3 linked regions of the Schizosaccharomyces pombe genome follow. Changing the gene in region 2 together with the main gene of any one other region gives a genetic interaction. Each region holds a gene or a part of one and is shown on either strand. Other genes may lie near its edges.

Region 1 (3,760 bases), on a different chromosome or scaffold from region 2:
ACGGAGTAGTAGTGTTTGTGAAACCCTCGAAACCTATCAGATCGGCTAATGTAGCAACGGTGAGATCCACAATTACATACATGCCTTTACTATGCATTTCTTCGATTGTTCCTCTCCAGTCGTTAATCGTCCCTAAATGAGGATCAAGTAACGTGAAATCAAGAGGAGAATACTGATCAGCTCCCCAAGGCATATTAACAAAAGGTGTCCCAGCAAAGTAAACAGCTTTAACACCCATACCTTGCAAATAGTCTAAAGATTGACGCACACCAATTATATCTCCACCGTTTCTAAATTCTGTCTCATAAATGTCGTATTCAAATCTTGTTCCACTAAAATCATTATTGGTTGGATCTCCATCGACCCATTTGTCAATAGCAATAGTATAAATGGGAAATCTCCAATGTTCTGGGCTAGGAAAAAATTCATGATTCTCCCATTCACCCCAATAATCCGATGGATCAAGAGCAGAAACGTTAGTGTTCAAATTCCAATCAGTAAGGAGATTATTGAAAGGAGCGCACCAAGCATGTTTGTCAAGTATAACAATATACAAAAAGAAAGAAACAACAAGAGGGTACGCCATATCCCTAAGTGTAAAAATCTAGTTAAATAGTTGAAAAAGTAAAAAGATTTTAACAAATTTGATAGGAGCACAAAAGATAGAAGGTAAAGTCTTCAGACTTAAACTAGTGATTAAAGGGAAAAAACGATCACTCTAGTATTTAAAATGAAGTTTCTTTTATAGAATTTTAATAGATAATCTTTGAAAAAGAAAAAAAATACTGGTTCTTCAGTTATTTATCTTATACTGATTTCAGTATGTCCATGTGTTGCGCAAAACAAAATGTTGAATATGAATATAATCAAACTATATTGTTTGTTTACTAAAACAACAGTAGTGATGTGTGCGCAATTTAAAGTAGCAAATAGCTAATTGTTTGATAACAATCGTTGTTGACTATGCGCAAATAAAAAGTAAACACGTATTTGTTTACATGCATTCACACAAACTCCTCTGAAATTTAAGAAGCAAAATTGTTACAAACAACACCATAATTCAATCAGAAACCAAAAGGTAAAAAAATTGATTAATAATGAATTACCGTAGAAATATATGTCTCAGAATTGGTTGGATGCTGCTTTTTGCATTTATTCCAGCATATGCAGGACATTCTGCTGAAGAGTGGAAACGCAGATCAATTTATCAAATAATCACCGACAGATTTTCTTTAGAAGAAGGTGCAACAGAGAGAATTCCATGCGATCCCGTTCGATTTATGTACTGCGGGGGAACTTGGAATGGAATTCGAAATCATCTAGATTACATCCAAGGCATGGGATTTGACGCAGTATGTATTTTTACCCAAATACTTGATTAACATAATGATAGATATGGATCTCACCAATCTTTGAAAATGTTGAAGGAAATGATATTGACGGTTCGTCCTATCACGGATATTGGACAACCAACCTCTATGAGCTTAATCACCACTTTGGAACAAAGGAAGAATTTATGGAGCTAATACAAGAATTGCATAAACGCGACATATGGATTTTACTAGACGTGGCTATCAATTCTATGGCGATAAACGGACCGCTGGAACAAATGAGCTTTGAAAAAGTTATACCCTTCAATGATGCTTCTTTCTTTCATCCTCACTGCTGGGTTGATTATGAAAGCAACGACATTGAAAGTGTTCAAAATGTATGCCAAATTATACAGACTAAACGATTTTTCCTACAACCTAGACTTAGCCTGTACAGGTCGTTAAGTCTCGTTATATTGTTTTTTAGAACGACAGTGAACTAACTATATGATATAGTGCTGGCTTGGTGATGAGAATTTACTGTTGGCTGATGTTGATACAGAAAACGAAGTAGTTTTGAGCGTTTTAGAGAAATGGATAAAAAACGTTGTGCAAGAATATGATATCGATGGTATCAGGTTTGATGCAATTAAGCATGCGCCGATAGAATTCTGGTTACGAATGTCGAAAGCAGCGGATATATTTACAATCGGCGAATATTTCACTGGTTCGCCAGCAGAAGCCTGTGATTACCAAAATTCTGGTTTAGACTCTTTCCTCAATTTCCCTCTTTACTGGCCAATTACTTGGGCATTCAACAACACTGGTCTTCAATGCGAGGCTTTAGCAATCGCAATTAACCAAATAAACGAAGAGTGCAATGATATCAATGTGTTGGGAACGTTTATTGGAAATCATGACTTACCAAGAATAAGCCACAATAACACCGACCAAGCAAGAATTATGAATGCAATTACATTTGTGATGATGTGGGACGGTATACCCATTATTTACTATGGTACCGAACAAAATTTCAACAGTTACCATGATCCGTTTAATAGAGAAGCTCTTTGGCTATCAAATTTTGATATGGAGAATGTATACTATAAGCTTATTGGTATCCTAAATCGGTTCAGGAAGTCCGTTCAACGTCAGGAAGAGAATTATGTGAACACTAGATCTACTATCCTAAGCGTCAAAATTCACCACATAGTTGTTCAAAAGTTGAATGTTATTACCGTTTTGAACAACTATGGAATTCATAACGAAGAGCGTCTATCAATCGTTTTCAAACCGCTTGGCGCATCTCCTAAGGACACGTTTTTTGATATCATTAACAACCAAAAATATGTTGTGAACACTGACGGCACGCTTAAAGTTGTCATCACTAACGGATTTCCCATTGTAAGTTATTTCATTGTCTAAAAGACTACTAACGTTCATTAAAGGTTTTATATCCTACCAGCAAAATCGAAACTTCATTACCCCAGTTTACAGCGACTCTTCTTCCAGAAATAACATTTGTTCCAAGTATTACAGTTACTACTCATTATGTTTTGCCTACCTTGTTAGCTCCATTGGGATACGATATACGTGAACATCCTGGAGGTCAACAATTTTGGAATACGTTAACTGCTAAATCAGAGGCTAAAACCATTCGATCCTTCACCAAATTGAAATTATTCATTCTGCTAATTGCTGTTCCATTTGCTTTACCCATGATTATTCTCATTTAATACTGTTCAAGTTTTTTATCATTCTCCCCACCTCTTTAAAAAACCTTTCATCAAGCGCCTAATTAAACGAGCGCTTTATTTTATCTGGTTTATACTATTGTTTATTTTGCTCTCATAAAATAAACTAGATGTTATATAATATAGTGTTTATACAATTCGTAATACCAATCTTGCGTTACTCTGTTAAGCTCCTTATAGCAATCCAGTGAACATCGCAAATTAATACCTCAACAGCCCTCATTGAGTGTGGTATATACTCCGTTTCCAAATCCCTTGAATTACATGCATGAAAAGGGGTTTAGATTCTTTAATTAAAGCAGACACTCATGAGTTTATATGATAGTCTTCTTTCAAATTTGCAGTCAATTAATGTGGACACTAGGAAAAAGAATGCAGACTTGAAGAAGGTAAATGTGAGCGTATCAACTTTTTAGTCTAACAACTTTAGCTTGCAGATGGTTCTTTAAAGTTTTTGTACACAAACAAGAATTTGTCTCAAGATTCTTTAGTTTCCAGTAAGTTCTGCTATTTATTTACAATAAGAGCTACATACTAATCATTTCACAGAATTGAAAGGAAATGAGGCTTTTTATAAGCCATTTTTATTTTGCTGTGCAAAAAAAATTGAACGACACATTTACATATCTCTTAATTCAATTCAATTGCTTGCTATAAACGATGCCTTATCACCGGTATGTTTTTTTTGTACTCACC
Region 2 (3,157 bases):
CCAACGTTAACACTAACTCGTCATTCTCAGGTCCCATCTCGGAATTTTTAGTCGAATTGTTTTCTCCAAATGACGATGCAAAGCAGCAATGGTTACCGAAAAAAACTTATATATCGATATTGGAACAACTTTTTGGCGGAGCTTTGGAAAAGCGTATACGACTACAACTGTTTCAGTTGTTTACGCCTGAGAAGATTTATAGGAAGTTACGCGAGTTTAGACGAGGACTTGAAGGTAAATCTAATCATGATCACTCCAAAGACCGCCGTCATTCACGGGCGCGAAAGCCAGCTTATGCTGATAGGAATCAATTGAAAGCAGAAGCAGGGATTTTGCTTGCTTCCATGTTTCCCGGCTATACACCTGATATTGCTGTGAAAAGAATATTTCGTATTCTCCAAAACCAATCTCTAAACGCTCATGTTATATACACCCTTCTTGACGAGATTTTGCTGGCTTTAAAGAAACACGCTAGATCAACTAATAAGGCAACTTGAGTGTCACTTTTTTACCTCTCTTGTTAAATCATAGCAAGAGTAATCATGTTCATGCTTTTCTTTAATCATATAATGTAATTTCTTCATAGGATTTGATAATACTTTATTACAATTCATCCACTAGATAATTTCAAATCCTGTATTGTTACTGACTTTAAAAGAAGGGTTATACCATTTGAAGTACAAATTATGCGTAAAAATTAAAGCAAAAAGACTTTTTCATTTTAGCCAAAAACTATCAAATTACTATGATTTTTCTATCCCCTCTCCATTTTCTTGCATAAGCAAATGGTGGCTTCTAGTAGCGATGTCGGGTAGAGTAATCTTTTGGAGAAATAACAAGACCTTTACCTTTTCTAGCACCACGAAAAATAGTTTCTATAATATCGATCATCTCTTGTTTATCTTCTAACGGCCAGTTGATTTTGTTATTGTTACCAGTACCTAAGTCAATCATCATGTGTTTGTTTCGATAAAAAAACATTATTGTAGTTCTGTCATAAAGCTCGTACATCTAGATGGTAATAAGGTTAGCAACATGACTTTCCAACTAAGACTTAGACTTACCTTGTTGAAGTCAGGAACTTCGTCAATGTCCACTAAATATATGACAGCCATGTTGACGACCTTTTCAGCAATTCTGTATAGGACTTCATCTTGTTTTATACATTCTTCATCCTATTCCGTTACGCGTTAGTAAATTAATCCGCCTACAATATTAAATAGACTTAATCCAAGTAGATATCGACATTAGAACATACATGATCTCTACCAAATCGAATGACAACCAAGCGCTCTTGTTCTATTTATAAAAAAAAAGGTTAATAAGCTGATTCGAAGTTGTGAAACGAGAAACATTCTACGTTTCTTAAAGTTCGCGTACCTGATAAAATTGCTTGATCAACGTGCCTATAAACATAAGTTAGAGAAGAATAAATCCATCTATCACAAAAACTTACCATCCAGAATGTAAATGAGGTAAAAAATAACTCATTATATCAACTGAAGCTGCTGAATTGCAATATTTTGGTAATTTCTAGCAGACGAGAATAGTGTAGATATGTAAGTCACACAATATACACTTTGCGCGTTAGGATGTAGCAATGCTTTAACTCTACGTAAAAAAGCGTATAATAGTGTAAATGCTATTCAGTAAATAAATTTAGTGAAGTTATGAGATTCTTGACACAAGTGGGATTGCTATTACTTTCGTACATTACATGCTTAGTTGAATCGTTGATGTGTTTACTACAATTATATATATTCATACTTCATCTAATAAAACAATGAAATTCAGAATTTTTTACAATTCTAGAAACCGACCGTTTAAGCAGTTTACTGTGTTTAAAAATTAAAGTATCCGTAATATTCCAAATATTTTGTGAAATACTATTATAAAAAATTTAATTTAGAATCGTAGCTAGGCCGTATAAAATTATTTTTTCAAGTCCCAATCGCAACATAGACGAATGACCTTTGCGTTTTTCTCGACTCCATAGCATAAAATTACAATTGCAAATTCTTTAAGTGACTTGGGTGTTCGCGTTGTAAGCTAACTTTTCTTTTTCAGATTTGTTTGGAGAGTGCAGGATATGCTATAAATTTGTATTTAAGAAAATTTCTGAAAGGTTAAAGTCGCCAAAGGTTGAAAATTTTAAAATGATGTTGATTCATGATAATGGCTTCGGGGAAGATAAGTGTTCCACCCATGTCTTAAGTTTTAATAGTAAATGGCTTAGGATTACTTTATTCGTCTACAAATTGTTGCTTCCTCTTGCTCTGTGAAGACTTGATATGGCCCCCTCTATAATCCACGAACCATAATAGAAATGCAAATCGTTTATAATGGGGAGCTAGAAATCAAGCTGGCGTTTTAGGGATAAACCAAATATTGTCCAAAGCAAGTAATAGTCATCAGTGGTTTCATTTAAAATACATCAATAGTTGTTAAAATGCAGATAATTATGCTGACCTGTGAAATTTTTGGGGTATGAAGAATCATGTAATTAGAGTTTCTTATACACTAACAGAGCTCCAGCTCTCTCTCGACTTTCAGGAATCAAGGAGTTATAATACCTCTGTACTTCTTCATACTTCAACCCTCGGGAGTCAAGATAGCTGTATAAGCTATAAAACCGCTCTTCAAAGAAAATCAGATAATCCGGCCATTCTTTAATTTTATCTAGAAAAGTAGGCATATTCTCGTAAAAACGATCCGTCTCATCAAAGGGCTTTTCGAACGGTTCACATGTCAAGAACTTCCATCCATTTTCAGCAAAAGGTGAATGGATATGCGACTGCCATGGTGTAGTGTGACACGGAGCAAGTATTAGACCAGTTTGGTTTTTTTCAGCAAGTGAATGTATTAATGGCATAACTTCCATGACTCCAAATTGATGAAATCGGCATAAAAATGTAATTACCAGAGCATGTCCCAATCCAATAAGGAAGAAAAACCGTGCTGCACGCTTCCAAGAGGAAAATGATGAAAAAAATTTTCCAGCTAAAGTAAGTAAAATCGGTGAAATTGGGTATACAAACCGAAGTTCTTTATGTCCTATCAGTGAATAGGGAAAGAAAACACAAAGAATGGTTCCCGCTGTTTGAAGGTCCATTGTGAGTAATACGAATGGAAGAAATCCTCCGCATATTAATGGGAG
Region 3 (3,760 bases), on a different chromosome or scaffold from region 2:
TTAGTGTATGACCAAACTGCTCTTGGAGGTAAATTTTCATGCCAGGCTTTTAAAAGCTCAAAGCTACGATGGAATTGAGACTGATTTAGCCAAGGGGGTGTGATATCTTTCGTGTATCCACCACATAGAGCCCATCTTGAGATCTCACTCCACAAATTTGACAAGCGGATTAGGGAACCCGTCATAAACTCCAGTTGTAAACTTCTTTGGTATGGGGCCATTGAAGTGGTGTCTGACTGAGTGTTTTCCGGTAAAGATCCATCAAATAACTCAGTAAGAATTGGCTGATTAAATAAAAAATTAGGTTCCGGACAAGGTAATTGTATACTAGTCTTTTGAAGAGATAAAGAAAGTGAGCGCAATTTTGAAGGTGCCATGTAACCTGTACTTAGCAAACGTTCGACAAAAAAACAAGCCCAATAAACCCTTCTTTTCTGCTCGGCTTCAGTCCATGAAACAGTGTTGGATCCCATCGTAAGAGGATTATCATTTATTTCGTTACCAAGATCTAAAGAATCGACCATACGGAGAGCCATACCCAGTAAAAGCCAGGCTTTAGCGCCTCTACAAGAGCCCAACTCAATTAAGCAAAGCAAGAGCAGGCAAGTGATATTAGTCAGTGAAATATCCTGGAAACGACAAGGAAGCAGTGAAAAGGCTTGGTTTGCGTAGTAATCAGATGCTGCAGTTGAAGATTTAAATCTATTGACTTCCTCTTGACTGAAACGAGCAGCGTGAGCACATATACAAAGTACGAGGACTGGCGGAGCAGTATCACTTGCAATTTGAGACGTAATTTGGGCCTTATTAAATATCCCAAAAAGTTCGGTATATGAAGTTTTAAGAAATATGTCCCAAAGCTGTAATAACTTTCTACTGGTTGGTAGCCTTAACTGCTTCTGATAGTCACCAAAGCTATTAATAGAGTAAGTAAAATCCATGTTAGGAGATGATGGAGAGAGGATCGTAGGAGAAAAAGGATGAGAGCCCAGATACGGTTGCACTATACCAGTAAGAGGACTCAAGGTTCTGGCAGCGGAAGATGGCTTTTTGCCTCGCATATTCGGTCGATCAGGCCAAATGCATTCAACTTTGTTGTTACTGCAAGCTTGACATGATGGCTTTTCACCAGAACACTTTATTTTTTTCTGCCTACACCGAATGCATGCCTGAGATACTTGACTGATTACTCGCCTTTTTCGAGGCACAGCATCTTTTTCGACAGCAGCAATCATGTCGAAAATAAAATACTAAAATGAAGTAATAAAATATTCTGTGTCCTTTTAAACCGTTTAAAAACCTAGATAATCGAAGAAATCCTGCGTTGAGTAGACAGGTCTTAAAAAAGAAAAGAAAAGAAAAGCAGACGTGCCAATTGTCTGATCGTACGTCTGTTAGAAAAAGCTCACGAGCTTAAATCAGAAAAAATAAATAAGCAATAAACGTAAAGGCTACGAACAGTCCTTTCGAAAAGTTTGCAAGTAGAAAATTAAACATAAACAATAATAGACTTAAGTGAAAGAAAAAAGGGGCATCTAGGACTACACAAGTACGCTTTTTCAAAACACCAACATCACAGAAATATTTTGATTAAAAACACACTCGAAAAGCTATAAAATTCAACTGAAGTCGTGGTATCACCTGAAGGGTGAAGATCATAAGAAGGTTACAAAGACCACATGGGAGTAAAAAGCCCATCTAGGGTAACATAAATAAGCCCTCAGTTGTGTTCAAAACTACAGCAGCAAAAATAAATATACATGGCCAAACATCGTTTTTACAAAAAGTTAATAAATGAACCTATTAAATGTACTAGTGTACGATGGATGTAAGGAAATTAGGGCTGTATAAAGAGATAGGTTGCTATAAAAAATATTTCGTCAGTCTACCATTCACAACTGTACCTTCAACTTGAATATAATTCAATCTCATGAGTAAAATTATAAAATAATAAAAAAAAAACGAAGATTTAGTATTAAAAATCTCCATAAATGTGTTTGGAAAACGCTGGACACTGAAATTTTAACGATGAATACTGTAATTTAGTTTTCTATTGTGCTATTTGGTGCTCGTCATTAAGTCAATAACGAGACTATGCACCAATTTCTTGAATCTTCTACCAGCGTCTTCAAACGTGTCTATCTATTTATTCTAATAAATTTCTATAATAGACACTTTAACTTATTTTTACTTATTTATTAATGAGTATTCGAGAAGACAGGAATCAGGATGCAACTATATATCTTGGCAATCTTGATGAAAAAGTAACGGATTCTATTTTGTTTGAGTTATGCCTGCAGGCAGGTCCAGTTGGTATGTAATTATTCGAGTGTTGGTTGTATTTGTGGCTTTCGATACTAATTCATACAGTAAATATTCATATTCCAAGAGATAGAGTAAGGAATAGTCATAATGGCTTTGGTTTCTGCGAATTCTTACACGAACAAGATGTTGAGTATGCATGTCAAATTCTGAATCAAGTAAAGTTGTTTGGAAAGCCTATAAGGGTCAATAGAGCTAGCCAGGACAGAGGAGTCAATACCTTAATTGGTGCAAATTTATTTGTTGGCAACTTGGATCCTCTTGTTGATGAACGCGTATTGTACGATACATTTTCTGCTTTGGGACAACTTGTCAAGGCACCTCAGGTAGCAAGAGACGAGAATGGAAGGTCGAAAGGTTATGGTTTTGTTAGCTACGATTCTTTTGAAACCGCTGATGCAGCCATTGAGGCCATGAATAATCAGTTTTTAATGAATAAACCAATTACCGTGTCATACGCCTTTAAACGCGAAGGAAAGGGTGAACGTCACGGAGATATTGCGGAAAGAAAGCTAGCAGCAGCCGCTAAAAAGAATAAAGTTGCCGTTACTCCTCAGAGTACTCTGCCTCCAGGATTTTCACCCGCCACTCCTGCTCCAACATCTGCTGCTAATACTCCAGCAACAATTGCTGCTACATCGATACCTCCTGTACCGAATGTTCCTCTAGTGGGAGCAACTACTGCCGTCCCTCCCTTGTCAATACCTAATGTTCTTCCTTTCACTGCTGCACAGCATTTCCCTGGAATGCCTGCTATGCCAATGATGAATGTTCCAATGGGCCCTGGAGGTGCACCACTTGTCCCCCCTCCACCACCAGGAATGGTGATGGCTTCTCCTTCTCCTGCTGCTGCTACCATACCTGGTGCTCCTGTAATGCCAAACATACCATTTTATCAAACAATCAATGCACAAAATGGATACAGTCAACAACAAAGGAGGTAAAATATTTTAAAAAGAAGCAAAATAACTACCATTGTTGCTCAAACGCCGGCATAGTAAAATAGCTGAGATTGATCCGTATGGTTGATTTTTTTTTTAACGTGTACAGTAAAAAAAGTGGAAGCTGAGATTTATCTTATTTAAAAGAAATTAAAATTGATGTTTGTTTATATTTTACAGTTTGACTTTTTCTAGTAATGAGTTTTACTTCGTCCCTAAATATCGGCAATATAGTCTATAAACGACGCATTAATTCAATCCAACATATTTTCAGATACATTGAATTATGTATACAATCCAAACGAAAGTATAGTCTAAGCATTATATTAAATATAAGCTGCTAATCTCTTGACCAATATTAGTGAAGTATTATTTTTGACTCGTTATCCCGTAAAACTAAATAAATCAAGTACACGAAGACTTGTGTCAACAACCATATAGAAGTTTTTTGCATAAACATTGGTAACAGCTTCTTATTCGACCCTTTAGAAAACTAT

What was found.
Region 1: mutations in dim1 (region 2) and mok11 together harm fitness more than expected from each alone (negative genetic interaction), as found in Schizosaccharomyces pombe (one large-scale study listed by BioGRID).
Region 3: mutations in dim1 (region 2) and mca1 together harm fitness more than expected from each alone (negative genetic interaction), as found in Schizosaccharomyces pombe (one large-scale study listed by BioGRID).

The regions. Positions count from the first base shown.
Region 1 is NC_003424.3:4,372,325-4,376,084, reverse strand, and holds the start of mok11 (cell wall alpha-1,3-glucan synthase Mok11), read right to left. Parts: upstream 1,723-3,760; 5' UTR 1,709-1,722; coding exon of another isoform or gene 1,394-1,708; 5' UTR 1,353-1,393; coding exon of another isoform or gene 1,098-1,352; 5' UTR 587-1,097; coding exon 1-586. Other genes in the region: aah2 (alpha-amylase 2), read left to right, coding at 1,098-1,352, 1,394-1,708, 1,827-2,714, 2,759-3,046; SPOM_SPAC23D3.13C (guanyl-nucleotide exchange factor), read left to right, coding at 3,373-3,453, 3,495-3,561, 3,614-3,738.
Region 2 is NC_003421.2:877,144-880,300, forward strand, and holds dim1 (U4/U6 x U5 tri-snRNP complex subunit Dim1), read right to left. Parts: upstream 1,529-3,157; 5' UTR 1,492-1,528; coding exon 1,457-1,491; intron 1,446-1,456; exon of another isoform or gene 1,407-1,445; coding exon 1,381-1,406; exon of another isoform or gene 1,300-1,380; coding exon 1,259-1,299; exon of another isoform or gene 1,176-1,258; coding exon 1,065-1,175; exon of another isoform or gene 1,012-1,064; coding exon 796-1,011; 3' UTR 661-795; downstream 1-660. Other genes in the region: sorting nexin Snx12, read left to right, coding at 1-497; gpi10 (pig-B family GPI synthesis protein), read right to left, coding at 2,504-3,157. UniProt on the Schizosaccharomyces pombe protein: Plays a fundamental role as a protein essential for entry into mitosis (G2/M progression) as well as for chromosome segregation during mitosis. May play a role in mitotic spindle formation and/or function.
Region 3 is NC_003424.3:2,987,195-2,990,954, forward strand, and holds the start of mca1 (transcription factor), read right to left. Parts: upstream 1,660-3,760; 5' UTR 1,236-1,659; coding exon 1-1,235. Other genes in the region: U2 snRNP-associated RNA-binding protein Sap49, read left to right, coding at 2,202-2,313, 2,371-3,266.